4 linked regions of the Oreochromis niloticus genome follow. The protein of the gene in region 4 purifies or fractionates together with the protein of the main gene of each other region. This does not show direct contact. Links are inferred from orthologs where the notes say so. Each region holds a gene or a part of one and is shown on either strand. Other genes may lie near its edges.

What was found.
Region 1: the proteins of polr3h (region 4) and polr3g purify together in Homo sapiens (affinity purification with mass spectrometry; 5 studies listed by BioGRID and IntAct, with this or other methods). This does not show direct contact. The link is inferred for Oreochromis niloticus from reciprocal best matches to the Homo sapiens genes POLR3H and POLR3G.
Region 2: the proteins of polr3h (region 4) and polr3d purify together in Homo sapiens (affinity purification with mass spectrometry; 6 studies listed by BioGRID and IntAct, counting the BioPlex papers as one, with this or other methods). This does not show direct contact. The link is inferred for Oreochromis niloticus from reciprocal best matches to the Homo sapiens genes POLR3H and POLR3D.
Region 3: the proteins of polr3h (region 4) and polr3f purify together in Homo sapiens (affinity purification with mass spectrometry; 4 studies listed by BioGRID and IntAct, with this or other methods). This does not show direct contact. The link is inferred for Oreochromis niloticus from reciprocal best matches to the Homo sapiens genes POLR3H and POLR3F.

Annotation. Positions count from the first base shown.
Region 1 is NC_031977.2:14,419,736-14,426,729, reverse strand, and holds the start of polr3g (DNA-directed RNA polymerase III subunit RPC7), read right to left. Parts: upstream 3,020-6,994; 5' UTR 2,719-3,019; intron 2,541-2,718; 5' UTR 2,520-2,540; coding exon 2,409-2,519; intron 1,671-2,408; coding exon 1,541-1,670; intron 20-1,540; coding exon 1-19. Other genes in the region: acyl-coenzyme A thioesterase MBLAC2, read left to right, coding at 3,262-3,703, 4,939-5,153, 5,437-5,610. UniProt on the Homo sapiens protein: DNA-dependent RNA polymerase catalyzes the transcription of DNA into RNA using the four ribonucleoside triphosphates as substrates.
Region 2 is NC_031977.2:13,079,027-13,086,274, reverse strand, and holds the start of polr3d (DNA-directed RNA polymerase III subunit RPC4), read right to left. Parts: upstream 3,015-7,248; 5' UTR 2,862-3,014; intron 1,867-2,861; 5' UTR 1,866-1,866; coding exon 1,704-1,865; intron 1,565-1,703; coding exon 1,521-1,564; intron 1,440-1,520; coding exon 1,285-1,439; intron 1,191-1,284; coding exon 1,066-1,190; intron 703-1,065; coding exon 543-702; intron 459-542; coding exon 211-458; intron 129-210; coding exon 1-128. UniProt on the Homo sapiens protein: DNA-dependent RNA polymerase catalyzes the transcription of DNA into RNA using the four ribonucleoside triphosphates as substrates.
Region 3 is NC_031971.2:41,853,405-41,860,396, reverse strand, and holds the start of polr3f (DNA-directed RNA polymerase III subunit RPC6), read right to left. Parts: upstream 3,008-6,992; 5' UTR 2,936-3,007; coding exon 2,760-2,935; intron 2,351-2,759; coding exon 2,233-2,350; intron 2,127-2,232; coding exon 2,059-2,126; intron 1,975-2,058; coding exon 1,907-1,974; intron 1,836-1,906; coding exon 1,723-1,835; intron 1,365-1,722; coding exon 1,221-1,364; intron 1,061-1,220; coding exon 953-1,060; intron 609-952; coding exon 417-608; intron 344-416; coding exon 266-343; 3' UTR 1-265. Other genes in the region: dzank1 (double zinc ribbon and ankyrin repeat-containing protein 1), read left to right, coding at 3,244-3,420, 4,889-4,943, 5,024-5,171, 5,254-5,320, 5,412-5,451, 5,708-5,900, 6,137-6,254, 6,333-6,656 and 2 more. UniProt on the Homo sapiens protein: DNA-dependent RNA polymerase catalyzes the transcription of DNA into RNA using the four ribonucleoside triphosphates as substrates.
Region 4 is NC_031969.2:9,483,087-9,490,920, reverse strand, and holds the start of polr3h (DNA-directed RNA polymerase III subunit RPC8), read right to left. Parts: upstream 3,025-7,834; 5' UTR 2,837-3,024; coding exon 2,726-2,836; intron 2,582-2,725; coding exon 2,485-2,581; intron 1-2,484.

The sequences.
Region 1 (6,994 bases), on a different chromosome or scaffold from region 4:
TCGGTGTATCTCTCCACTTCTGTTTTCAAGTAAACAAAAGAAAGGTCATACTCTTAAAAACATTTAGACTAGTATGCGTCAACACAAACTGCAGTGTTACTCTAGAAGTTTACATACAGTCAGTAGCATGAATGTCATGGTCATTTGGGGCTTTAATGATTTCTTTGAAATGATATTTTTATAGAGTGGAAGGACTGTACAGCATGCATCTTTAATGCCTTTAAAAAAAACAAAAAAATACAAGAATTTGTTACAGAAGCTTGGATTAATTTTGGCAGGTCTTGAAGGATGAAAGGACTGATAACACTAAATGCCGCCCACCCAGACGGACCGGACTTTTAAGCATAGTCCACAAATTTTCAATAAGATTGAGGCTGTGGTTTTGCAAAAGCCAGAATTTTAATGTTAGTCTGCTTTATCCAATCCAAAACCAATTTTGATGTGTATTTGGGAACACTGTCCTGTTTGAACACCCAATTGTGTCCAAAGTTTCAACCATCTAGCTGCAAATTTCAGTTGAAATTGAAGCTGTTGATTTTGGAGCAGGGTATTCTTTTGTGGTCGGCAAAAGAATTAAAACTCGCTTCAGCGGCTGGTCTTTGAGTAGTTTCGATTTCACGGTAGACTTGAGACCCGGTTGTTCTTCGGTTGTTCGTGAACATCCTAACCAATTTTCTCTCATCCGAGGGTAACAGTTCGGATCTTCTTCCAGAAAATTGAAAACTTGGAATGTGATATTGTTTAAAATAGCTCAAATAGACTTTCCCAAATTATGTAAATTATCAATTCTCCTTCTTGGATCTTCACAGAGTTCCTTCAACTCTCCCATTGTGCGTCAATCCAATGAGCCCTGTCAAACAAATCCTTCTTTTTTTCCTGTCAAAGACAGACTAGTTGTAATCAATGATGATCACTGATGAGAAGTTAATAGGCCTTGGCCTCATCAAGCTAAAAGACATTTAGTATTTGTTCTGCTCTACAGCCCATGAACCAGCTCTCTTTTTACTGCAGGTTTTGGATGGAGTACAATGTCTAACAGCTATCTAAGACAGCGGAGGTGGTGCTCAACCATGGGATGAGAGTCTTGCTGAAGAGGCTGTAGATATGAAGCAGCAGCTGCTTCTCTGTTTATCGGTCATGATGTGTGTATATTTGCTTCTGCACAGAAGAACTGGGTGCACTTCCTTTTCATAGGTAATTTCCCTATAGTCATGTTCACCACAGACCCCCTGCTGAATAAGCAATCCCCCCTTCCCCCTATAAAATACACTGACTTCTTTACATGGTTACATTTAGCTAACTGTGGAACAGGAGAGTTTTGAAAGGCCAGTAATCCAGACAAAAGAAATCTGTGGTTTCGCAAGATGAGACATCTGTAACTCAATATTCTGTCATTAATCTGCCTCTCTCCGTTTCCCAGATATGACCTTAACTGAAAGTCTTTGTTCCTAAAAGCTGCATTATCTTCCCCCACAGCAGACAACTGTCTTACAGCGTCATTTCAGCTGATGTCAGGTTTCTAATGCACCGCCTTCCTCACCTGCTTTATTGGACTGAGGTTTGATGTTGTATGGCAGCCGTTGCATTGTTCCCCTCATCTCTTGTTTTAAGGCCAGCATATAGTCCTCATCCTCGCCAGCTTTCAGTGGAACTGGTTTAAAATCCGTGCTCTGGAGAAGTATGGATGATGTAATGCCGATATTAATAATGTTCAAGTGCAAATAAATTTCAAATCTAACTGAAATTCAGACTGCCATGTAAAGGTGTTCAACATTTTAAGTATGAATAGTCAAAATATACTACATTGTAAGCATAGTCCAAACTGTGTTTAAAAGAAAAAAAAAATCCCCATAAAGCATCCTGGCAGAATCCAAGAGGCACGTAAATATCTGCCATATTCTTTGGGAATACACACGACCAAATTAGAAAACCTGGCCATGAATTTAACATAAGCGCATACATTATTGCCCTTTACCCCCTTTGTGCTTATTTGTGAACCCTGTGAGAGACACTCATTGGGTCATAACTCTTAAACACATGTTGGCCATGAGCACGATAAATATACTTTCATCTCCCTTCATTTAAATACAAATGCAGTAAAATGTTTCGTAAATTTTATTACAAAGAATAAACCTTAACCTATTATAAGTAAACCTCCACTGTATATAGTCTGCTATTCAAATTCCATGCAAATTTCACCTACCTCTCTCAAAAAGGTCTCTCCCAAAGTCGCTCCAGTAAAGTTTGACCATTAGAGGTGAATTTGTTATACTGAAATGCAATCTGTCATCCTGCTGGTGTGTGTGTGTGTGTGTGTGTGTGTGTGTGTGTGTGTGTGTGTGTGTGTGTGTGTGTGTGTGTGTGTGTGTGTGTGTGTGTGTGTGTAAACGACTGTGTTCGGTACTTACTGGAAACAGAGGACTGGGCCCCACCCTGGCTTCTGGCATGTTGCCCCTGCCGATGCCCAGAGCGTCAATATTGAAGGTAAAAGCACCAACTCCACGACCCTTGCCTGCCATGGCTGCAGGTCTCCTCTGTTCCTGCACACACACACACACACACACACACACACACACGTCCACATATCTCCAGTCAACACGTGTTGATGAAAGTTAACGTTCTACAGCTTCCATCGCCTTTAGCGTGACTCTGCCAGCGATGAAGCTTTAGTCAGCATCAGAGACGCACTCTACGTGTAAAGTATGTCGAAATACTTACTAGAAGCCTGTTAGTATACTGCGCCTAATGTAAAAAAGCACAAAGTCTACTTCAGAGCTGGACAGCGATATTTAGCTCTTACTGGATCCACATGTTTCAGTTTTTTAATGTACCTCTCTGGCCGGTTTTATCTGTCCCTCGACAACTCCTTAAAAATCACATACATTTCAGCTGAACCTAATGAAGATACTGCTTAGACTTTATACTGCTTAGCTAGCACCGGCTTTGGAAACCTGCACACGCCATACGCCACTGTCAGCATGCGTAAATGTGGCTTTAACTCGCTCCTCCTCTGCGTGACGACAGAGGAGGCGTGGTTTGCGTATAGCCAATTGCAACCCACGTTAAGCTGCCGTCGTTTATCGGTTTGCCCAGTGAGCTTAGTGTCCTCCTACAAGGGTGTGTCTGCGGCCACCATCGCATTAACCTCAATGAAAACATATCATCTGTAGCTAGAAGGCTAGTTACACCTCTCCCCCCCAATAAATCACCTGACAGCAAGACACCATACTGAACCCTACTTCGACAAGCGAATGAACTGGGATGTCTGCAGTCGACTGGTACGCTCACAAATCGCTCGGAGACGGAATCTTCTGGATCCAGGAGCGATTCTACCAGTCGGAGAACCGAGCCAACATCTGGTTGCTGCGCGGCACACACCAGGACGTGGTGATAGACACGGGTCTGGGCTTAAGGAGCTTACCTGAATACATCGACGCCAAAGGCCTGCTGGGAAAAGACCCGCAGAGGAAAAACCCGCTGCTTGCCATCGCCACCCACGCCCACTTCGACCACTCCGGTGGTCTGCATCAGTTCCAACAGGTGGGCGTCCACAGCGCGGAGGTCGATGCCCTGGCCAACGGAGACAACTTCGAGACGGTCACTTGGCTCAGCGACAGGGAGATAGCCGAGGCTCCCAGCCCGGGATGGAGGGCAAGGCACTACAAAGTCAAGGCTGTGCAGCCCACACACATACTGCAGGAGGGTAGGTAGGAAATACAGCCCTTGCAGATTTGATTTAGGCTAGAGGGATGGATCTGTGCTCAAATACCAGCAAGGTCTAAAAGCATTCACTTAGTGACAAGCACCATAATCGATACAGTAATGGGCTTGATGGATGCACCAGGCCTAGTGTGAGCACAGTATGCTCTACAGAGTCGTTTCCAGCCTCAGATTCTGCACCGCGATTTGGCAGAAGACCAACAATGACTTGCTAGCTCACACATCGACACATATTATATATGTAATGGAGGTAGTGGGGATGAGACAAGGGGTCGGTCTGCCAGTAATTTTTACAGTTACAAAGTAGGCTAGAGGAACCAGTTCAATGCAGCAACATGAGGCCAGGACTGGTGATTACACAGGTGCAATTATCCCATTACACAAAACAGGATATTCTATCCAAGGAATGCAGGTACAGACAATTTCCCCCTATTAGAAGTGTATGGGTTAAAAAAACAACAACAAAAACTCCATTGGTAGCAACTATATGCTCATTCTCTATATCTGCAGAGCTGTTCTATTTTAAGCCAGTGTGATGGCTTTGATGTATTCTCTTGCTTCCAAGAAAGAGCATACAGAGACTGGTGTCACACTTAATGAAAGCATCCCACAGCGCGAAGTAACAACCACACAGTCTTCTCTTTTCTCAAACAATTTTTTATAGTGGGTCAAAGATCAGCAGGTGGCGAGCTGAATCAATCTACTTGATAAATCTGAAAGTGGATACGTTGTTTGAAAGCACTGGTCACTGGAGTCTTTATATAAAGCACACATTCATCAGAATAGCACACATAATAATACACAAAGCTTATATCATAAATAATGTATTTGCTGAGCCGCCGTATCTGTTGGGGTTTAATGCAAAATGCAGTGTTGTAGAGTAACTCGTTCTGCTGTGTCAGAGCCACTACTGCAGTGCAGCTGGTATATCTCATTCCCTGATGTATCAACTTCACCCTTTTTGCCAGTGCAACTCATAACTGGCGTCGACCAAATCGATGATATACTGAATGTCACAGAATCTGTGTGACTCAGTGACATGTGGAAAGCACAAACATAACTCTGACGTGAGTCAGCCAGAATATGAGTTATCACTTATATATAAGTCTAAGATTTTAAATACATAGTGGCCGGTGATTACGGTTCATGCCACGTTTGTATGTGTGAATAATTATCAAAACCTAATGCCTTCACTCTCTCTCTCTTTCTCCTGCCTAGGTGATGTCATCAATCTTGGTGACAGACAGCTGACTGTGCTTCACATGCCCGGACACTCTCGGGGAAGCATTTGCCTTCATGACCGGGACAATAAGTTGCTTTTCAGTGGCGATGTTGTGTATGACGGCGCAATGATTGACTGGCTGCCCTACAGCCGCGTCAGTGACTACATCAGCAGCTGTGAGCGCCTGGTTGGGCTGGTGGACAGCGAACAGGTAACTCTAAAGCCCACTAGAGAGCAGCCTCACAATTTCAGTACACAGTTCCACTTTTTTTTTCCAGGGGTATTTATCCCAAAGCACCTTATATCAACATTTCATAGATTTATAATGAAAATATCATGTTGCTCTGCTGAAATTTGGCATACCAGTATCTATTAGCCTACATATACAAGCTGTGTTTTCTGTGCTAATACTTAAAACAATATACTTTAACATGTGCTAAACATTATTTGTTAAATAAAATACATGTTTATTGGCTTTAAAATGGATTTAACAGGTCGACCAAGTCCTCCCGGGGCACTACAATGCATTCGGTGCGAAGCGGCTCCATCGGCTTGCCTCCACGTACATCAGCAGAGCTGAAACATGCCCTGCAAAGTTCTCCACGTTTGCCTGGAGGAGTCTGGCTGGGGTGGCGCTGCGGGTGTGCAACCCACAGTGTGCCTGCTAATGAGAGTGGGTCATTGAGCTGCAGGAAGCAAGTGCACAAAGAGAGATGTTTTAGTATGGAGGACATGGAAGAGTGTGAGGACAGAAAGGGTGGGGGCGGGGTTACCTCTGTTTTATCTGCAACTTAATGTAACGCTGTCCATTTACTTATGTAATCCAGCTGAAAATCAAGTAATTGCCAAACTTTGTGTGAAATGCCCCTACTGGGTTACAGAAGTCAATAATCAGCACCATATGAAGCCTATTATAAAAAATATTTACTGGTCTTATATGCTGATGAATATGTATATGTTGGTGTTAATATAATTCAGTGTTTGATTTTTATACTTTAAGCATATGTGAAGTTACAATAGCACAACAATAGCATAACTCTGCACTACAAACAGAACAGGGCGCTTTGGGTTTTCCTCTGAGACATTTGAAACAAAGTCATTATGGCCATAGTGTTCTCTATGCATATTACAATGCTCAGTGAAGACTCAGTGTCGACTACCTCCTATGTTTGTAATTGTGCTTTGTACTATTGACTAATCTACAGCTTTGCTATCGAAACATAGACAATAAAAAGTCTCTGTTCTACCTGCTTTTTGAGTCTTTTGCAGCACAGATTGCAGCAGCTTATAAGTGGATTTGCTTCTCCAGGGGGGAACTCAAATGGGATTTGTTGCAAGAGAGAGAAAAAGGGGCAGAACAGAGGTGGATGGAATATGATCCAACACCTGTTCAAAGGATAGAGAACTTAAAGTCATTTTCTAATCTGATGGAAACCTCTCTCAATGCATGGAAAGGGTTTAATTTGGGGGGCTTTTAGTTTGAAAAGTTAAGAAAAGTAGGATGATTTAACCTTCTAACAGAAATATCAGATTTTATTTTTAAGTTCAATGCATTACTAAAGAATTTCACCATAAAAATGTACACATAAAAATATGTATAGAACATGTTAATTTGGATACATAAGAAAAGAAGACGATTTTTAATTGATAAAACATTTATTTAATGTTATATTATTTCAACACGAGATTTCCACATTTCTCGTTTTCAGTTCACCTCCGAGGATGGCATACATGCAGAACACGAAGCCTGCCAACACGGGAAACTCCGCCAAGGTTATAACATTCAATGTTATCTGTGACAGTTAAAAGATCTGCACGTTATCTAATATTATGATCATCAAATATCAACACAGCTGCATTTATAACAAATTCAGTAATGTAACAAAAAAAACCCAAAAACAAATACAGGAGGTTTATTTGTTAACTTATAAAAATTAATTTACAGTAACAAATGCTGTCGTTCAGCGTACAACAGATCTTAGTAAAAATGGTTCGAGTTCTGAGTCCCCAAGAGGGCAACGGCTTCCAGAGTCCACAATAAACACGGAAACG
Region 2 (7,248 bases), on a different chromosome or scaffold from region 4:
AGAGACACATCGAGCGTCACCTGCCCCAGTATGAGCTGCACTCGGCCAGACTTGCGTACCAGCATCTTTCCCACAACACCCTCCCGTAGATCCTTCAGATTGCAGCTGTTGTCCTCAGCTTTCTCCTCCTGTTTGGTATAAAAACACCACCTACTCAGAAGAACACGACAACATCATGGACTTAAACTTGGACCCCAGCTGTATGCTTACCTCTGATTCTGTTTTCAGGAGCACAGACTGCCCATCCTCTGACTGCACCTCTGTTTTCACCGGCTTGTGCTCTTTTGTGGGAGGCTGGCCGGGCAGCGAGTCTGGTAGCTGAATGAAGAAAAGCTCCTCCGCTTTGCTCAGACTCCATCTGTGCAGCAGGTCAGGGAGTACTTCGGGCTCGGGGAGAGGAGGCGGCCTGAAAGTTGCCTCAGGCTTCTTTATTTCAATTTCCTCTGGCTCTTGTTTCACTGAAGACAAACTTACGATTAATTTCATGATCCTGCAAAGGAAATTAAACAAGTTCTGAGTCAAACGCAGGTACAAACATTTACCTTCAGCTGCAGGCTCCATTGGTTCACAATCCTCCTCTTTCTTCTCATTTTTAATAGGAGCGTCACTAAATTCATCCTTGAATCCCCATCCTGACACAGCCAGGGGGAGCTGGACAGGGCAGCTCCTCTTCTCACTCCGCAGGAAGGGATCATCCACAAACTAAAAGAACACAATAAGCATTGGGAAAAAGATATAATCTTTACTTGTCTAAGCAAAAACTCCATGGAACATCTGCAGGTTGTTCAAAAACCTGCAGAAAGGATTCTGACTAAATCTTCTAAATACATTTAAACCGTTGTTGATCCAGCTGCACCGGCTCCCCACTCAACTCAAAGCCCATTTCAAGATTGTCGTTCTGACGTTTAGAGCTCATCATGGACTAGAACCAGGTTACATCAGTGAACATTTTACAGCTATATGACCCCAGCAAGTCCCTTAGGTCTTATTCTAAAGGTGCTATATAAATGAAATTGTACGTACTTAGTTACGCAAACAAAGATGAGTTAAAGCCAAGAGACTCACGTTGTCTCGTTCCAGCTTGCGCAGGATCTCTTTGGTCTCCTCCTCGGTCTCTCGCTTTTCCTTTTTGATATTAATGATGGGCGAGGGTCCCATGCTTGGAGCGTCTCTCTCGCTTTCATAGCCGCCTGTGTGTGTGGGTGACACAGAATTATGCTCGTTCGATAGAGACTCTGTAAGACACACACGTAAACGATGCGTAAGGAGCACCGGGTCTCCCACCTCTCTTTTTCATCATCATCTCTCCGGGTCCCTGTTCAAAAATGGAGTGCGACTGGATGAGTTCTTGATGGCCTCGGCCCCTGCCTCTCATTCTGGGACCCCGACCTCGATCCGTTTCCTTCCTCTCTCTCCTCTGCCCATCTTCAACTTTTGTTCTAGTGTGAGAAAATAACAGTCAAAGAAACAGCTGGCTTTGGATGTCTGTACTTTATTTATTTAGCGCTTTGGGAACTTACTCTTCTTTAACTTTTCGGCCAATAATGTTGGGTGTAAATGTTTTCTAAAGAGTAAAAAGAAGAACGATAAATGCAAGAGATGAGATAACAAATGTATTCATTTAAAGTTTCCATTTGCGCTTTTTTTGTTGTTGTTGTTGTTAAATGAAGCGAGTGAGTTAGTGAAACAGAGACATATCAGACCTTCTTCACTCCTCCTAATGTGAGGTCTCTGGATCGCATCGTGGGGAGGCGGCCAGGAGAGATGCCAGCTGACGGGCGACGGCTCATCAGGAGTCCTTTGCTACCGCTCCCTCCAGGAGTCGGCACACGACCACTGGGGTCGCCTGAACCTGCGTCCGACATCCTGAATTGGGGCAAAAGCAGGGGATCGACCAAGGGATGGATATTACAAATACTAACATTGTTTCTTATAACATTCTCATATTTATACATAACACACATTTCAACAGTCAGCATGCCGATTGCCAAGGGTTACAGTCCTGTATCAGACTACCAATCACAGTATGTAGACATGGCCAAATTGGCCTTGCAAGGCTACTTACTGCTACTGCCTATTGATTATTTATGTATGAACATTTTTACATTGGTACTTATGCCTCTTAGCACATTTTAAACTCTACTTCCACGAAGACTGGAAATGGTAAGTAGAATAGGTCTTGAAAATGATACATATAGATATATTTAACTAAATTATTCTCTCTGTTATGATTAAAGGACAGGACATGTGAGAATCTCCACAGTTTTGCTGTATTTGAATTAAACTAGCTACTGATTTTATTTAATGGTACAGCTTGCCCCATTGGCCCAATGCAGCATGAAAGCTGAAATAGAATTTTCTTAAATTTTTTTAATTAAAAACTTAATGTTAAAAAGTATTAAATGTTTATATTATATAGTATTATATGTTTAAATATGACTTCAGATTTTAAAGGGTGAATATAGACACATATTAAGTATTTCTTACTCTACTACCACATCCTGCTCTATAAGACCGCAGAACATACTGTTGACATGATTGATTCATGTAGTATTTACTTATTAATTTCGTTGTAATATACATTATCTTTTAATCTGAACACAGACAAAAATGTAAATCTGAGCTTCTACTTTTTTGTTTTTACTAAAGTAGCGCTTATAACACTGTGACATAAATTACTGACAAGTTATTGTATCACTATAAACAGAGATCCTGCAGACACATTTTTATTTTTAGAAATGATTTTACAAGACAACCTCAGCAACACGTGGCCACATTCCAGTGAAATACAACGACACAGGACACTTTGTTTTAACTCTCAGGATGAACTTTTAACAGGCTGTGCTTTCTCGCCTACTTACGTTATTGTCCCTCTGACGTCCTTATGAAATATTAATCCAAAACCCCAGAGTCATTACAGTTTCTACCAGTGCTGTGTGGGACACTGCATGACAGTGTTGATGATTCTGCAGCACGGCGCCATGACACTTCCGCATTTGTCACCGTCCACTCAGTTCACTTGGATCAAACCTGCGCAGAAACATGCGCATGTTCACCACGAAACTCAATAGACCGGCATACATTAATACATTTAGATCGACTTATGTATGTATGTGAAAAATGTTATTTTACCGACATATAAATATGCTTTGTTATGCAACACAGCAGTAGCTACTCACCGATGCTCATAATCATAAGTAAACGGAAGAGGCCGTTGTTCGCTTCAATGCGCAGATGTGAGTAGGTCAAACACAGCTTAATCACTATATTACACTTTGAAATTTATTAGGATCCCTTAATAATCTCATAATATAATACTGTTCTAGTTAATTGAACTTCATTTTAGGCAGCAGGGTGTGAAAAGGTTCTCCTGACCTGTAATTGTGTAAATACATAATATAGAATGTATAATATAGAAGATGCAGAGAAGGATGAGAGAAATACGAAGCAGGAAAGGACAAACTAATTATACCAAATTGAAAATTTGGTATTTGGTCCATGCAAAAGTCTTGACACACCCCTCATTTCTTTATATTTTGTTTCCAAGAAGTCAGACTTTCTGCTAATTTTTAAGTAGTCTTGAGCAACAGTTCCCTGGGCTTTCTGAAGGTGATTCAAAGCTTTTCTTTGGAGATCTGCTGCTTTCTGGTTCATTTTCATTTCGGTTTGTCTGTTATTTGTAGCCACAACACTTGAACCACTGTTGTGTATACACATAACAGACCAGTTAGCAAATAATCGTGTTTCATTTGGCATGAAATTTTAAATTGTGTCTTTAGGTACTTTGTTACTAGTTCCTGTTTCTTTTGTTGAATCTACAAAATATGCCAAACGCAACACAGTTTGACAAACATAAAATACTATTACTGGGAGTCAGCAAAGTGGTTCCCAAAGAAGTATAAGGTCATATCTGGCATATCTTAACATGGTGTCCTTAAAAAAATTGAGCAAACTGGACAAGTGAAGGGCTGAAGAAGTAAGATAAGGTAAGATAAGATAAGATAAGATAAGATAAGATAAGACAAGATAAGATAAGCTTTATTAGCCCCACACATGGGCAATTTGTTGTGTCACAGCAGAAAGTCGACAGTGCAAAGTTACAGTAGCAAAAATTAAGAAAAACACTGGAATAGGATAAGATAATAAGAATAAGATACTATATGCAATAGAATAAAATACTATGTTGACAGAAAAAAGAGAATTGCACTTAGTATTATTATGTGCTGAGAATAATCCATCTATTCAGAGAAAATGCCAAGTTGCTAATAAAACTTTTTATGGAGTTTGTTCATAATTTGGTGGACACAGATTCTCCCAGTATGTGGACTGAACATGTGTGTAATACATTATTCTGGGAGCATCCGCTTATGTAAATGTAGTAATAGTATATTCCTCCTAGGGGTGCCACAGATTTTTGGTACCCCCGGTCGAACAGTGCCTGGTCCCTTTGATAAGGGAAGGACCTCTCGGCAAATACTTGAATGAGACTAGAATAAATTTACAATATTTGTTTTAAAAACACAACTCAAATATGCCAATTTGTAAGCATAATTGAAATATAAGAGACATTCTGAACACCATAACATGGGGCCAAATTCTGCTTTCTCTACACGCACACCTACCGCTCTCCTAAAAAACTGGTTATTCCCATTTCTGAAGCAGGGAAGGTTATTTGGACAGAGGCTGTCATGGCATGACTAATGATGGATGATTGCAGTTTAATTATACTCTAGGGGTATCACTTATCAGTGGCTGTCTGGAAATAAATGAAGCTTTTCAATACGCCACACAGTGTGTGGAATTAAGGCACTATATCTTTGTCATTTTTTTTTAAATAAAACACAGTGAAAGGATTTCACTAGCACTATAAATTCATCCCTTTGTTATCTCTCTTTAGCCTACACTCATGTCTATTGTTTTAGTAGCAGATTATACGCGTTAATCTGGGGAGGGTCTCTTTAATCTCTGATGCAATCCTAAATTAAGTTGTCCAGTGAGGTCGAACAGGCTCAAAAAAAAAAAAACCCATCACACAGAAAATGAATGCAAGTGGAAATCTGATTACTCAGGACTTAGATAGTGGCATCCCCCGCCTCCGGATAGGCTAGAGGGAGATGCCCTGTGGAGTTGGTCCATATGGCATGACAGTTGGCACATGTATGTTTTTTGAGGTCTTGACAGGACTCTGTGTAATTTTATGGGCCACCACTCACAGTGTAATTTGTTTAGAATAATGTGTGGCAAGTTGAGTGCGCAAAAAGCAGTTATTCTTTCTACCTTCAGACTCCCAGAGCCCAGACTTTCTCCATATCTGAGAGGTGACATTTATGTCGGCAGTTCAGTGTTCAGATTAGAGTATATTTGGATTTTGTGCTTCGGGGCAGATTTACAAGCGAGTGATGTGATGTGCTGTGCACGGTTGGCTGGCGAAAGCTCCGATGCTGCCGAGGTACACTGAGTGTCTCGCTGCGGTCACACTGCAACTGGAAAAATCTTCTTTTTTTTTTATCCCTTCTTTCTGTATTTCAGCTTTTAATTTATCCTTTATGGGTGCAGAGGAGTCAAGTTATCATCGTGCAGCGCTCAGAGCGAAAAATGAGATTGGGAGGGGGGGAGAGAGGGAGGCAGGGAGTGGGAGGTGGGGGGGTTAGAGTGTTTGTGTGACACAGAGAGAGAGAAACAGACGGAGAAAGAGGAAGAGAGGAGGCTGTGTGTTCGTTTCACCTCCTAATCAGTTTTCCTGGGGGATCTATCATCGGCTGCACGATAGCAGGCAAGTAGAAAGCGAAATAAGACGACCTTCTACCATCTCAAATTTGAGCCTCATACAAGTAAGGAATTTTTTTTTTTACATTATTCTTCACGTTACATTATTCTGAGTCCCAGAAAATGAATCAATTTATTAAACGAGTCTATTTACAAGTTGTTGACATCAAATGATCTTATCCTGGGTGTGAGTGAGTGTGTGTGTGTTTTCTCCAAATATATTTGACATGAAGTCAGATGAATGCAGCAGATGCTGGAGTTTTATTTGCAGATTGTTATTCTCTTGTTATTCTCTTATTCTCTTCCCCCCCCTGCCAACTTTGGGTATTTATTAAATCCCACCAATGACATTTTGCGTGTGACTGCGAGGACATTTCACACGGCAGCCCTGACTGATTCGTGTAAAGAGATTGGGCGTCATTCTCCTAAATGTCAGTGCCAACTGTGCATCGCTTCAAACTACTTTAAGGAAGAGATAATATTTCCATTTTCATACCCGGTGACTGCCTTTTCAGCATCCCAGTTTAAGAACTAAAGCGAGAAGATTGCGCCTTTTCCCTCCCCTCTCGCCTAGCTATGTAAATGTCTTTTAAAGTATTCTCCTCAAAGAAGAAGAAGAAGAAATGTGGCTTTGAACCACAGAGCTGCTTTCTATGCCCTGCTCCATATGCATGATTACAGCACAACATCTGTGTGTGTGTTATGTACTTCAGCCAGAGATGTGAACTGTAGCCTAATTATGCACTTCTAGATGAATTATGAGTTATGATGTGTACTCATAATAATTATTAGTTAGACCAAATTGCCTTATTTGGAGCAGCTGTCTGTTAAAGCTGGTAATGTGGTGGAGATAATCGGCTTTTTTTTCTAAGTGAGAGAAATGTAATTGTGTGAATGGTATGGCAACCTGAATTTGAACTGTGTTCACATCTCTGCCATCCAAAAGTGGAGCATATGTAGACGCACGGGGAGCTTTGATGACTTGTCCTGAGAGAATCTTCTGTTGCCCCAGTTTCTATCTCTGAAAAAAAAGGCACACTATGGCAAGAAAAGAGAACAGCAGCTGGAAAACAGACGCGTGGACCTGCACGTGCACGGTGCGGCTCCCTGCCCCGGTTGCCCGTGTGCACGAGCCATCGCACAAATTTCACAGTTCACAGGCTTTAATGAGCTACCGCAGCCTGTCCATCACACTGACGGGTGGGGCGCACCTTTGCAGACCCGGCAATCAGACAATGACTCTAAACCAGGCAATTTGTAGGATCACAGGGACCACAACGGGGGGAGTTATTTTTGAACACATATTTGCCACGTGCTCACTGTGCCAGGGCTAATAAGAGAAATATGCAAAATGCTGCTTTGGTGTTGAAAATACTGCAAGAGATCAGTAAATATACTGTAGCTGTGGAGGAGACTGTTGCAGTAACAATAGACTGATGAAAACTGCAAGCAAGCTGGGATAAACAGGAGCACTGTGGACAC
Region 3 (6,992 bases), on a different chromosome or scaffold from region 4:
CAGAGGGTGTGCAGGTGGGAGCGGGATTATACAGAAACATCTGAGACCATGTGACCATGATGGGACCAATAAGACGACCCCAAAGATTTACGATGTCAAACAGAAACATTAAAGCAGCCCCAGAAAACAAACGTTACGCCTCCAGAACCAGAACCGGGACAAACTGCTGCACGTCATCGTCACAGGAACTGAGGCCGCCGGGTTCTTCACGTCTGCGACAAACAGGAAGTGAAGCTTCCTTCAGAGAGAAACGCGTGCCGTGGCTTCAGAAGTCCAACCACTCGCTCATGTAGATGCAGGTGGATGGCGAGATCTCCCCGCCCTCATGGCAGTCGTCGAACACCTGCAAAGAGGAGACAGGATGAGTTCGGGTGCCCTGAGAGCGGCCCTGGGTGCAGGTGGGCACGGCGCGTTACCGGGCAGAGTCCGCAGGGCGTCTTGACGAGGCCGGTGGGCTGGATGATGGCGTTCACGCCGCGGTACAGCTTCATCTGCCCGTCCACACTGCCCACCGTGCCCTCCTTGGCGGCGATCACGGTCATCTCCACCTTTCCGTCGTAGATGAGCGTGTTCAGGATGGTCTCGATGTCATCCATGGACAGGTCCACCTGAGGGAAGCACACACACCAGATTCATACGCAGAGATAAATAGGTCCATGCTGTCGACCCTGCCCTTTCACCTCGTCTCACGGTCGCTTTCATTCACCTGACCAGGAAAGCAGATTGGCCAAAGATCAACTAAACCCCGCCTTAAACACCTGGACCTGGGTCCATAGCCTGAGTCCCGGGGACTGTTTACACGCAGGATGAGGTGTAAAGTCTACGCTCCCGCCTCCTCAGGTAACGCTCACCTGTCTGAGCACCTGAGCCCAGCTGCTTCTAATGTGTGTGTGTGGAGCTGTCTGCAGGTGAACGCTGTGCTGTGATTGGTGCGTCTGAGCTGTGATGTCACCTTGCTGATGCCCAGCTCACAGATGTACTTCCAGACTTCGTGCGACGTGGCGAAGGAGCTGTTTCTCTGAACCATCGGACTCTGCTTGCTGTCCCGCGCCGCCTCCGCCTCAACACAGGAAACACAGCGAGGGTCATATGACGGTTCACACAGCTCTGAGACATGAAAGAAGGCCGCCCCGCCCTACTCGCGCCTCAGAGTGCCGCTCTGCCTCCTCCTGCCGGGCACCGTTTGGACAATGAAACAGTTTAAATAAAGTTTTTTGTACCTTGCTCTGCAGGAACTTGAAGCACTGCTGGTTGAGAACCTCCACGAACTCGGACTCAAAGTCCTGGTCGCTGTACCAGGCGCCGCCCGTCACCGAGCGGTCGGGCTGCAGGTTGTACAGCATGTACACCTTCTTCTTCGACGCCTGCACAAACACGCCAGCGGAGAGGAAGTATGACATCATCACCGTCAGTGTTTGTTTACACGAAACACACGGAGACGGCGCATCTTTAATTTTTATTTACTTACATGTGTTTGTTTATTTCCAAACTGTTTTATAGTTTCTATATTTTTGCTGATTTACATATTTTACAGATGTTTGTCGTAAACATCTGGAAAATATATTTAATCAGAATTTAAACAGTTTCTTTTATCTTTGCACATTTTAAGCTGATTTTTCTGCAGATATTTAAATAAACATTGACTCTTTCAGCTGCTAATGTTATTGATTATTGATCAGCGATAAGGCTGATGAAGCCGATTATTGATCGTGAAAGACTCACAGCCACAGACTTCACGGCTTTGATGAGCTTCTTGCTCTCCAGGTTCTTCAGGATCTTGTTGATCTCAGTCAGAGGCAGGTTGCTCTTGAACCGGATGTCTCGGCTCCAGATTCCTGCAGAGAGAGACAGACGTAACGGCGAGCCACGGCAGCGAGCCAAACGGGGACAGGAAGTACTCAGTTACCTTTGTTTCCTGCGTCCTCGATGATCTGATAGACCAGCTTCTCCTGGTTGTCTGAGCCCTTCATCTTACTGAGACAGAACAGACAGGAAGCAGCTGAGACACCAGCAATCACCTGACAGGAAGTACACTCCTACACCTGTGTGTGTGTTTACCTGGTGCTCTGAGAGTCCTTCAGTCTGTACAGGAGACCTGCACTGTTCCTCAGCAGGTCCAGCTGACCCTGAAACAAACACCACCTCATCAACCTGCTGCCTGCTCAGCGCACAGAGTACAATAAAGCGCCATCCTCCTCACCCTCTGGAGGTGAGTGACATCATCAGACTGACCAGTGAGAGCAGCTTGTTGATGGCCATGGCTCTCTGCTGTGGCTCCAGGTGAGGCATGTCGTTCTGAATCACCTGGTCTGTGATACCGTGAGGGAACTGCTGACACAGCTCTTTGATCCTGAAACACACACACACACACACACACACACACACACACCAGATAAAATTCACAGTAAACCTGTTTCTCTGTTTAAACTCGGAGTTTTAATCGTTTTCTGCTCCTGCTGTGTCTCAGCTGCTCAGGCTGCACATGAAGACCAGCAGGCATAAACTTTAGCTCAGAGGAGCTTCGGCCGAAGGCGCCATTAAAGACCAGAACATGTCCAGATGTTGGTCAAGCGAAGCCAGCTGATGACACTGATTAACGCCGAAGTGACCAGCAGTCCGGCGCGATGTGAACGTGCGTTCATGACCTGCACGCAGGCGCTGTGTGCGCGAGCAGAACCGTACAGGCGATAATTGTGACAGTATTCGGCCGGAGTCCGATACGCGGACAGAGCGGCCCGCCGGCCCCGCTCCTCCCTCACCTGTTCTCGACCTCCGCGGGGTCCGACAGGTTCGTCTCCTTCTTCACCTTCACCTCAGCCATCTCCAGCGTTTCTTGCCTGCGCGGGGCTCTTACTTTGTTAGCCTGTGAGCTAATGTTGTGACTGACTGCGAGCACACGCTGGGGTCCTTCGGTGTCCCAAGCGACCGGAAGCATCCTGAAATCCGCCTGATTAAAATACACACCGCGGTCAGATCTCGACCTTTTGTTTGTGTTTAAGCATAGATACCCGGCCTCACTGTTTCACAGTATTTTTTTTTTTCTTTCTTTGGTTAATTTCATTTAAAAAATAAATTTCTTTGACTGGTCAGCGGCCTCTGGTCCTGTGACGATGACGTACAGCAGCTTGTCCCGGTGATTTATAAAATATATCATATATAGAAATATATGAATTTAAATTTTAAGGTCATTTTTCTCAACTCCTTCTTTTTGTGTTTTTAAATTCAATGTAAACTTTAAAGGGTATGTTTCTAACAGCGCAGCACGCAGAGGTGGGCGGGTACTACAACCCAATGGCAGCACCGCCCATCTCTGTCGTTCAGGCGTATAAAACAAGCGTCCCCGCGGACACAGCCCGTTGCTATGGTGACACTTCGGTAAACTCGGCAGCAGTCCCGTTGATCACCTGCGCCTTCATCCAGGTAAGAACACTGTCTCTGTTTGTTTTATTTACCGGCGTGTCCCGGCCATACGGCTCATCGAACCAGAACCGGCCCCATTCAAAAGCTCAGAAAAAAACAGTGAAAATAAGAGCAGCTTCAGTCAAACTAACAAAGAGACGGTAAAGACACGGGAACCTATCAGAGGCTTTGGTAAACCTTCAGGGAAACCCTCCCAGAAACCTAAGATGTCCCACTGGGGCACGCGGGGTGGAGACGAGTGTCAGGCCTGATGTGGATGCCCGTGAGACCCACTGTGATGTTTGGAGACGACAGATGAGAAGACAGACAGTCACTGGGAGCAGGGGCGGATCTAAAGACATGTTCGTAGGGTGGCATGGAAATCAGATGAGGTGGCAAAGTCACGGCCGTTTCTATACACAGGTGTTTCATTCTGTAATATGTGTTAAATAAGGTTAAATACATCAAATGCAGTAAGCATACATGTGAATATAAACGTAGTCTGTTTAATTGGCTTTAGATCAAATAATGAAACATCTCAGTTACTTCAAGCATATGAATTTAAATTTTAAGTGTTGTATAGTCTGTATGATAAATAAGTATGTAGCCCGATGAGGATAACATCCAGAAAGCTACACTACATGTGGTGGATGAGCTAGAACTTCACACTCTTTTTATGAATGATAGATAATTTTAACAAACAACATTTTCATAGAAAGAAAGAGTCGGGCAAGCATCCGCACCGTCTGCTGGTTTTAGCTCAGAGGATGGCGACCAGCCTCCAGGAAAGGCTGCAGCGTCTGGCAGTGGGTCAGCACTGGCTTTGTTCTTCCAAGTAAAGGTTCTGGATCAGGACCGTTCAGTGGGGGATTCACTCCAAAGCGGTTTGATTGATGTGGCCACACTGACCTGCTGAGAACTGCAGAGCCTGAAAGCAGCGGGAAAAAGCTCATCCACGCAGACGGTTTCTGACGGAGGTGTTTGCAAACCACCATAAAGCTACAGGAACATGAGCCATCACCTATGCGGCCCAGATACACATCGACATCCCCGCCCTCCTGTCGGACACTCTGGGAGTTCGTATCCATCAGGCTCCTGCCTCGTTTCGTGGACCGATGCTAGAGCGACCAACGCGTGCTGGTCGCCCAGCTTCTGTGTACAGAGGGTTCATTATCACACCTGTTGTTATGATATGAGGTTCTCTGCTCTCTGCAGCAGGCTGTCGGTTCTTTGGTTTGTTCTCTGTGCTGTGACACAGATTCAGCTCCATCCATTTTACAGATAACATGAGGTATGAGGTTACTCAGCAGAAGTAACTGAGTAAAAGTATGAATGTATGTTGGGACAAAGCCGGCGAGGACGTCTTACTGAGTCTGAAAGGGAACTGAACAACTGATTTATTGATTAACTGATTGGTTGGCAGACGGTTGTTGTCATGGCAGCGGGGGCAGTGTCAGCTCCACTCATCATTCCCATCATCCACCTGCAGACTCATCGAGCCAAGAACCACATCAAGACGAGCACACCTGTGTCCATCCAGTCAGGTAGAACTCCAACCGTCTGCTCATCCACCCAGCATCCATCCATCCATCCAGCAGGTCATGTGACAGGTGTGTCTGTGCAGACTCTGCAGGTGTTCTGATCTTTTACACTCTGGATGGTTCAAAGCCGGGGGCGGGGCATCGTGGAGCAGCAGGCAGCAGCAGGAAGTACAGCGAGCCCATCCTTCTGCCTGCAGGCCGGGTGACAATTCGAGCGGTGGCTGTCACCAGGTAAGTGGTCACCTGACATCAGTGTGTACCGGCAGCAGATGCTTTCACAGTGTAGATCAATAAAGTTTATGTTTGTCTGCAGTGACGGCAGAGAGAGCTCCATAGTGACGAAGGTTTTCTCTGTGGATCCTTTGGACAACTTCCTGCAGGTAATCGTGCAGCTGCCTGCTGCAGTTAACATTTCCCAGCTGCCCCTGCACAGACCTGATGATTCACAGAAATGCTTCTTTTACCTTCCAGCCTCCGCCAGAAGAAACATCCTCTCCTGCTGAGACCTCAGGTGTGTTCAGTTAAATTCAACTTTATTCATAATACAATACATTACAACAGGTACCTCAAGTCTTACCGTACTGACAGGTAAAGATGTACAACATTACAGAGAAAACTGACCAATCAGAGGATACTGTGTGGGCAGCACTCGGTGACAGTCGAAATGAAGAACTCGCTCTTAACCTTGGGGGGATGGGGTGTAAACCTGCTCTTTCTCTTCATCTGACCAATCACAGAGCTTCACACTTCCTGTTTCTTGTGTCCAGAGCCAAGGATGATGGGAAATCCCTCCCTTCAGTCAGGCCCTCGTTTTCTGTACGGTCGTCATGGCTCTGAGATCGGCGCCCAGCTCGTCTCATCTCACCGCTCCCAGCCTGCGGTTTTTAGGGGGTCAGGTGACCTGAGGCAGCTGAAGAGCACGGAGACGACAAGAGTGCAGCGAGACACCGACTTCCTGCGGTACGACCACACGGTACAGCCCTCCATCAGAGCCAAAAGTTTGTGGACAGCTCATCAAACAGAGCTGATGAACGTCCCAAGAAGAAGGAAAATGAGAAAAACATGTTCTTTTTTAAAAATAAATACATTTAGTTTGATTTCCACTCATTAAGACATTGCCCAGGTGTGCAGGTGCGTCCACATACTTTCGGCTTCACACTGTAAACCTGATGAACCAACAGTTTCTGTGCATTCAGGTGTGCTCGCTGTCTGCATCGCCGCCCCTCTGACCCGTTCGCTCAGTTCTGCGCTCAGTGTGGAGCGGCGCTTTCTCCGCTACCCAGTCACAGGCTGCCACCTGCTGAGGAAGGACAGGTACTGCATGCACTCACCTGAGCATTGCCACGTCCCGCTGAACACCTGACGATGAATCTGTGTGTGTGTGCGTGTCAGATGTTGCTGTGTGTGTTCTGTGGAGCTCTAGTTCCCGCCAACACACACACCTGTTTGGTGTGTGAAGCTGCCATCGATCAACAGCTGCAGCCACGAGCGGGCATCACTCTGCAGGTACACACACACACGCTCACACACACACACACACACACACGCTCACACACACACACACACACACACACACACATGCTCACACACACACACACACACACACACACTGGTGTTTACCTGTGCATGCAGGGTCATGTGATGTGTGTCTGCTGTGGAAGTGGGAATCCAGCTGACGCCTTCAGCTGTCTCACCTGCGAGAGCTGCTTGCAGCAGGTAAGCAGCTGCTGACCACACCTGTACAGCCTCACCCACAGACACTTTACGCTCTCTTTACTCCTCATGGCTTCAGGTGGGCGGAGCCAGGAGCAGTGTGCCCTCTGACCCAGGAGCGCACACCAGGATGTTGTCCTGCACCAGATGTAAACGTTTAAACTGGGGCGACGCAAGATTCTGCGACTGGTGCGGCTCCAAGGTGAATGCACATCTGACACCTAAAGCAGTGTAAAGTGAAGCATTGTGGGATTTGTAGTGATGCCGTGTGCTTTCAGCCCACCCACGCTGCCCGCTGTGTGACATGTCAGCGATGTGGAGCGAGTGCACACCCGTACA
Region 4 (7,834 bases):
AGTCTTAAAATTGCAACGCTTCTGAAGCGTGATCATCGAACAATCAAGCGTTTCATTCAAAATAGTCAACAGGGTCGCAAGAAGCGTGTGGAAAAACCAAGGCGCAAAATAACTGCCCATGAACTGACAAAAGTCAAGCGTGCAGCTGCCAAGATGCCACTTGCCACCAGTTTGGCCATATTTCAGAGCTGCAACATCACTGGAGTGCCCAAAAGCACAAGGTGTGCAATACTCAGAGACATGGCCAAGGTAAGAAAGGCTGAAAGACGACCACCACTGAACAAGACACACAAGCTGAAACGTCAAGACTGGGCCAAGAAATATCTCAAGACTGATTTTTCTAAGGTTTTATGGACTGATGAAATGAGAGTGAGTCTTGATGGGCCAGATGGATGGGCCCGTGGCTGGATTGGTAAAGGGCAGAGAGCTCCAGTCTGACTCAGATGCCAGCAAGGTGGAGGTGGAGTACTGGTTTGGGCTGGTATCATCAAAGATGAGCTTGTGGGGCCTTTTCGAGTTGAGGATGGAGTCAAGCTCAACTCCCAGTCCTACTGCCAGTTTCTGGAAGACACCTTCTTCAAGCAGTGGTACAGGAAGAAGTCTGCATCCTTCAAGAAAAACATGATTTTCATGCAGGACAATGCTCCATCACACGCGTCCAAGTACTCCACAGCGTGGCTGGCAAGAAAGGGTATAAAAGAAGAAAAACTAATGACATGGCCTCCTTGTTCACCTGATCTGAACCCCATTGAGAACCTGTGGTCCATCATCAAATGTGAGATTTACAAGGAGGTGTTATGGCCCTGGGCCTTGGAGGGAGTGAGACTGCCTTTTTGTGTTCATGCAAATCCATGTGTGCCATGACTTGTGGGTGATTGGTTACTGGGAGACCCGTGCCAACCCTCTTTTATGCAGAATGAAGTGTGCCAGACCACACGGATGATTGGCTGCCCGGGGATCCCGTGATGCTCCAAGAGGCAATCAGTGACTGATCGTACCCACCTGTGGCTACAAAAGGCTGGAGGTCCTTCACTCAGTGGCTGCTGTTTAGGACTGAACATGCAGTTTGCCCTTCGTGCCTCCCTCTTCAATCTTTGTTGAACTTGTTCATATTGCTGAACTTTGTCAAACCTTGGTGCATGCTTGAACTTAGCCAGAGTAGAGCTTTGAGCTGCTAGCTGGCTGTGAGTAGAATTTTGTGATGCTGGCTCACCTTAGTTAACCCTTAGCTTTTATTTTGTGTGTTGCCAGCTTGCCTTAGTTAACCTTTAGCTTTTACTCTTGTCTTTTTTTGTCTTTATATAATAATTGTTTGCCCAGTGGTCTGTTGAACAGCCCTGTCAGTTTTCTGTTTACAGTTTGGAATGAAAACCTTTCTTTACTCAGTTTTGTGTTGGGGGCGTGTGTATGTTACTCCTCCCCTGATGCCTAGCAGAGGAGGTTGTAACAGGGGGGAAAACAGTACACCTCTCTGAACAGTGTCTGGGAGGCTGTGGTTGCTGCTGCACGCAATGTTGATGGTGAACAGATCAAAACACTGAGAGAATCCATGGATGGCAGGCTTTTGAGTGTCCTTGCAAAGAAAGGTGGCTATATTGGTCGCTGATTTGTTTTTGTTTTGTTTTTGAATGTCAGAAATGTATATTTGTGAATGTGGAGATGTTATATTGGTTTCACTGGTAAAAATAAATAATTGAAATGGGTATATATTTGTTTTTTGTTAAGTTGCCTAATAATTATGCACAGTAATAGTCACCTGCACACACAGATATCCCCCTAAAATAGCTAAAACTACTTCCAAAAACATTCAGCTTTGATATTAATGAGTTTTTTGGGTTCATTGAGAACATGGTTGTTGTTCAATAATAAAATTATTCCTCAAAAATACAACTTGCCTAATAATTCTGCACTCCCTGTATTTTCACGGTTGTTGTGGTCGTGACAATTTTGTGAGGCCACATCGAAAAGGCTCAGATGAGCTTGCCAAAGTTCTACATGTTGTGCCTCCATCGCTTGTGTCCAGATCACACGCTGCACTGCCGTGCTGCTCTGTCTTTTCACTTTCATTTGTGTTTGTGCGTGCAGTGTGGGAGGCTGCGTTGACACCCTCATGACGGCCGACAGGATTTCAAACAGGTTTGATTTTCTTACGACCAAACAATTGATGATCGGGAGCTGGTCGTGAGGTGTTAATCGCTTCTCGTTACCCCATGTATACTACACGATGCGTGACACACGATTAAGGCGAAACTCGGGCCGATCCCCAAAACGGTCGCACAACTAAAAAATCGGCTCAAAATGGGCCAAAAATTGCACAGTGTATGCCCAGCATAAGGAGGAGGAGTCACCACTCACCATCTGCCTTGTTTGTGCATTAACAGTAGAAAAAGGGTTTTGCTTTAATGTCTGAGGTATTACAAGCAGTATTAACTTTAACTCAACTACACCAAAGCTGTCTCAGCTATTTGATGGTGATCGTCATACCTTTGGTGTGTGAGGCTCCGTCTCCTGGGAATATATAGGAGTCCTCGAGTTTTGTGATGTCGTACAAGCAGATGCAGAGTCCCACGTTATAGACCACCTATTGTAAGCACAGCACTACACAATTTAACACACAAACTTCTGCTAAAAGGACAATATATGTTCAGTATTTTAGCTGCTGAACTGTTAGTGTGTTTTGTGTGGTGAAAATTGATCCTAAGTGTGCTAGAACGGTCTCCATCACCTTGTTGGCCAGCTTCTTGTTCAGTTCCTCCGCCACAGCCTCGTTGAGTTGCCGGTGAAAATTCCACGGCGGAATCCGCACCGTGTCGACCATTTCCACCAGCACGAACATGATGACCGGACACTGGTCACCTACCCACTAATTACCATACGTTCTTATAATATTAAAAGCAATAAAAAATATTAAGTAATGATCAGAAAGTAGTATCCACGTTTCTTGTTTGTTTGTTTTGCGGCATGCCGTAAAACAGCTGTCGCAATTCTAGACGACTACGGCAGGTTTCTGGTGCCACCTAGTGGCTGTAACGCTGCAATTGCTAACAAATACCGCAAACCATGGACTCGTTAGTGTAACGTACCACGGCCTGCCACGACATGCCAGAAACTGCCAATTGCTTGGAGGTTCTGGTACTTCATACACCCGGCTGTGTAGTCCAGAAGGGTCAAGTCAAGTCAGAAAAGCTGGTCTGTTGAGTGCATTCAGAGCCTCTTAATTACTCACTTTTGAAAAATGGACCTTCAAACTGGGTTGAGCTTATAGTGCATGTCCCTCCTGTATTCTGGTCTTTGTTGAAAATAATAGTCTCTGTTTTTAAAACATTTTCCATCTAAATGTTTTAAATCATGCTATTATGATTAGTGGATAAATCTATTGCGTGAGTGATTGACTATTGTGTTATAAATATACTTTTACTGTCAGACTAGAATACTGAACACCATCATTATCCAGGCTAAACAAGCAAAAAGTATTAAAGGGATGTTTAGGTTATTTATTTCAGTAAGTGAGGTACAGAAACTGCAGGATATTCTGGCCACAACAGATGTTAAAGGGAATAATGAGCAGCCTTCATCATCAGCATCATGGTGCTTGCATCAATCTGCTGCCCAGGATAAATGGGAGAAAGCAAGGCCCTATCATCCGATCTGGCTGTTGTCTTCCAACGTGGTTCCAGAGAGGAACAGCAGCTACTGAATGAGAAATGACAGTCCATCGTTACTTTCAGAACTGAAGGTCAGTCAGTCCAGAAAATTGCTAAACCTCTGAGTATGTCCCCAAGTGCGATCGCAAAAACCATCAAGCGCTACGACGAAACTGGCTCACATGAGGACTGTTTCAGGAAAGGAAGCCCAAGAGTCATCAGCCTCAGAAAACACAAGTTAACAGCAGAACAACAACAACAGAGTTCCAGCAGCTGACACATCTCTACATCAACTGTTCAAAGGGGAGTGTGAATCAGGACTTTATAGTCAAATAGCTGCTAAGAAACCACTACTAAGGAAACGCAACAAGCAGATTTGTTTGGACCAAGAAGCACAAGGAATGGACATTAGACAAAGTAATCAAAGCAAAGGGTGGCTATTTTAAAGAATCTAAAATATAAAACATGTTTTGAGTTATTTCACACTTTTGTTGTTTACTACATAATTCCATATGTGTTCATTCATAGTTTTGATGCCTTCAATAAGAATCTACAATGTAAATAGTCATGAAAATAAATGAGAAGGTGTGTCCAAACTTTTAACTGGTAGTGTATATAAAAATTTTAATAACAATGTATTTATGTACATGTGTACCATATTTTGTTTATAGGTCGGTATGACAGACAAGTATATATATCTATATATATATAGATATATATAGATATGTATATATGTACGTATATATATATGTATGTATATACTTGCTTCCTGAACAGACTGAACTTGCTAATATTTACATATTAATAATTAATAATATTAATGTGGTCGCACTAAACTAGCGACCCTGTGTTACATGTTTTAACATGACTGCACTGTAAGTGGCTGATAGCTGCTGTCATATGCTGATTGTCCATGTGTACGCTCGAACATGGGCAAGTCTGGTATTTATATTTGACATCACAGCAAATAGGAGATTCGAGTCTGGCATTGATATTTGACATCACAGCAGGAAGGTGATGCGAGTCTGGCATTGATATTTGACATCACAGCAGAGAGGCGATTCTGGTGTTGATATTTGACATCACAGCAGGGAGGTGAGGCGAGTCTGGCATTGATATTTGACATCAGAGCAGAGAGGCGATTCTGGCACTGATATTTGACATCACAGCAGGAAGGTGATGCGAGTCTGGCATTGATATTTGACATCACAGCAGAGAGGCGATTCTGGTGTTGATATCTGACATCACAGCAGGAAGGCGATGCGAGTCTGGCATTGATATTTGACATCAGAGCAGAGAGGCGATTCTGGTGTTGATATTTGACATCGCAGCAGGGAGGCGGATCTGGCATTGCCATTTGACATCACATTATAGAGAGGCGAGTCTGGCACTGATATTTGACATCACAGTATAGAGAGGCGAGTCTGGCATTGATATTTGACATCACAGCAGAGAGGCAATTCTGGCTGCCATGGTTACGGGTTGTTGCCATGGCTGTTGCCATGGTTACGCGTTGTGGTTGCCATGGTTGTTGCCATAGTTACGGGTTGTTGCCATGGTTACGGGTTGTTGGCATTGTGGTTGCCATGGTTACGGGTTGTTGCCATGGTTACGGGTTGTTGCCATTGTTGTTGCCATGGTTACGGGTTGTTGCCATGGTTACGCATTGTCAGCGTTGTGGTTGCCATGGTTACGGGTTGTGGTTGCCATGGTTACGGGTTGTTGCCATGGTTATTGCCATGGTTAAGGGTTGTTACCTTGGTTGTTGCCATGGTTACGGGTTGTTGCCATGGTTGTTGCCATGGTTACGGGTTGTTGCCATGGTAGTTGCCATGGTTACGGGCTGTTGCCATGGTTACGGGTTGTTGCCATGGTTACGGGTTGTGGTTGCCATGGTTACGGGTTGTTGCCATGGTTGTGTGTTGTTGGCATTGTGGTTGCCAACAACCACAATGCATGCAATGTGATGTCAAATATCAATGCCAGACTTGCATCACCTACCTGCTGTGATGTCAAATATCAATGCCAGACTCGCCTCTCTGCTGTGATGTCAAATATCAATGCCAGACTCGCCTCTCTGCTGTGATGTCAAATGTCAATGCCAGACTCGCATCACCTTCCTGCTGTGATGTCACATATCAACAGCAGAATTGCCTCTCTGCTCTGATGTCAAATGTCAATGCCAGACTCGCATCACCTTCCTGCTGTGATGTCACATATCAACAGCAGAATCGCCTCTCTGCTGTGATGTCAAATGTCAATGCCAGACTCGCATCACCTTCCTGCTGTGATGTCACATATCAACAGCAGAATTGCCTCTCTGCTGTGATGTCAAATGTCAATGCCAGACTCGCATCACCTTCCTGCTGTGATGTCACATATCAACAGCAGAATTGCTGGGTTGTGGTTGCCATGGTTACGGGTTGTTGCCATGGTCACGGGTTGTTGCCATGGTTGTTGCCATGGTTACGGGTTGTTGCTATGGTTGTGCGTTGTTGGCATTGTGGTTGCCATGGTTACGGGTTGTTACCATGGTTGTTGCCATGGTTACGGGTTGTTGCCATGGTAGTTGCCATGGTTACGGGTTGTTGCCATGGTTACGGGTTGTTGCCATGGTTGTGTGTTGTTGGCATTGTGGTTGCCAACAACCACAATGCATGCAATGTGATGTCAAATATCAATGCCAGACTTGCATCACCTACCTGCTGTGATGTCAAATATCAATGCCAGACTTGCATCACCTACCTGCTGTGATGTCAAATATCAACAGCAGAATTGCCTCTCTGCTCTGATGTCAAATGTCAATGCCAGACTCGCTTCACCTACCTGCTGTGATGTCAAATATCAACACCAGAATCGCCTCTCTGCTCTGATGTCAAATGTCAATGCCGGACTCGCCTCTCTGCTGTGATGTCAAATGTCAATGCCAGACTCGCCTCTCTGCTGTGATGTCAAATATCAATGCCAGACTTGCATCACCTACCTGCTGTGATGTCAAATATCAATGCCAGACTTGCATCACCTACCTGCTGTGATGTCAAATATCAATGCCAGACTCGCCTCTCTGCTGTGATGTCAAATGTCAATGCCAGACTCGCATCACCTTCCTGCTGTGATGTCACATATCAACAGCAGAATTGCCTCTCTGCTGTGATGTCAAATGTCAATGCCAGACTCGCATCACTTTCCTGCTGTGATGTCACATATCAACAGCAGAATTGCCTCTCTGCTCTGATGTCAAATGTCAATGCCAGACTCGCATCACCTTCCTGCTGTGATGTCACATATCAACAGCAGAATTGCCTCTCTGCTCTGATGTCAAATGTCAATGCCAGACTCGCATCACCTTCCTGCTGTGATGTCACATATCAACAGCAGATTTGCTGGGTTGTGGTTGCCATGGTTACGGGTTGTTGCCATGGTTACGGTTTGTTGCCATGGTAGTTGCCATGGTTACGGGTTGTTGCCATGGTTACGGGTTGTGGTTGCCATGGTTACGGGTTGTTGCCATGGTTACGGGTTGTTGCCATGGTTGTGTGTTGTTGGCATTGTGGTTGCCAACAACCACAATGCATGCAATGTGATGTCAAATATCAATGCCAGACTTGCATCACCTACCTGCTGTGATGTCAAATATCAATGCCAGACTTGCATCACCTACCTGCTGTGATGTCAAATATCAACAGCAGAATTGCCTCTCTGCTCTGATGTCAAATGTCAATGCCAGACTCGCTTCACCTACCTGCTGTGATGTCAAATATCAACACCAGAATCGCCTCTCTGCTCTGATGTCAAATGTCAATGCCAGACTCGCATCACCTTCCTGCTGTGATGTCACATATCAACAGCAGAATCGCCTGTCTGCTGTGATGTCAAATGTCAATGCCAGACTCGCATCACCTTCCTGCTGTGATGTCACATATCAACAGCAGAATTGCCTCTCTGCTCTGATGTCAAATGTCAATGCCAAACTCGCATCACCTTCCTGCTGTGATGTCACATATCAACAGCAGAATCACCTCTCTGCTGTGATGTCAAATGTCAATGCCAGACTCGCATCACCTTCCTGCTGTGATGTCACATATCAACAGCAGAATTGCTGGGTTGTGGTTGCCATGGTTACGGGTTGTTGCCATGGTTACGGGTTGTTGCCATGGTTGTTGCCATGGTAGTTGCCATGGTTACGGGTT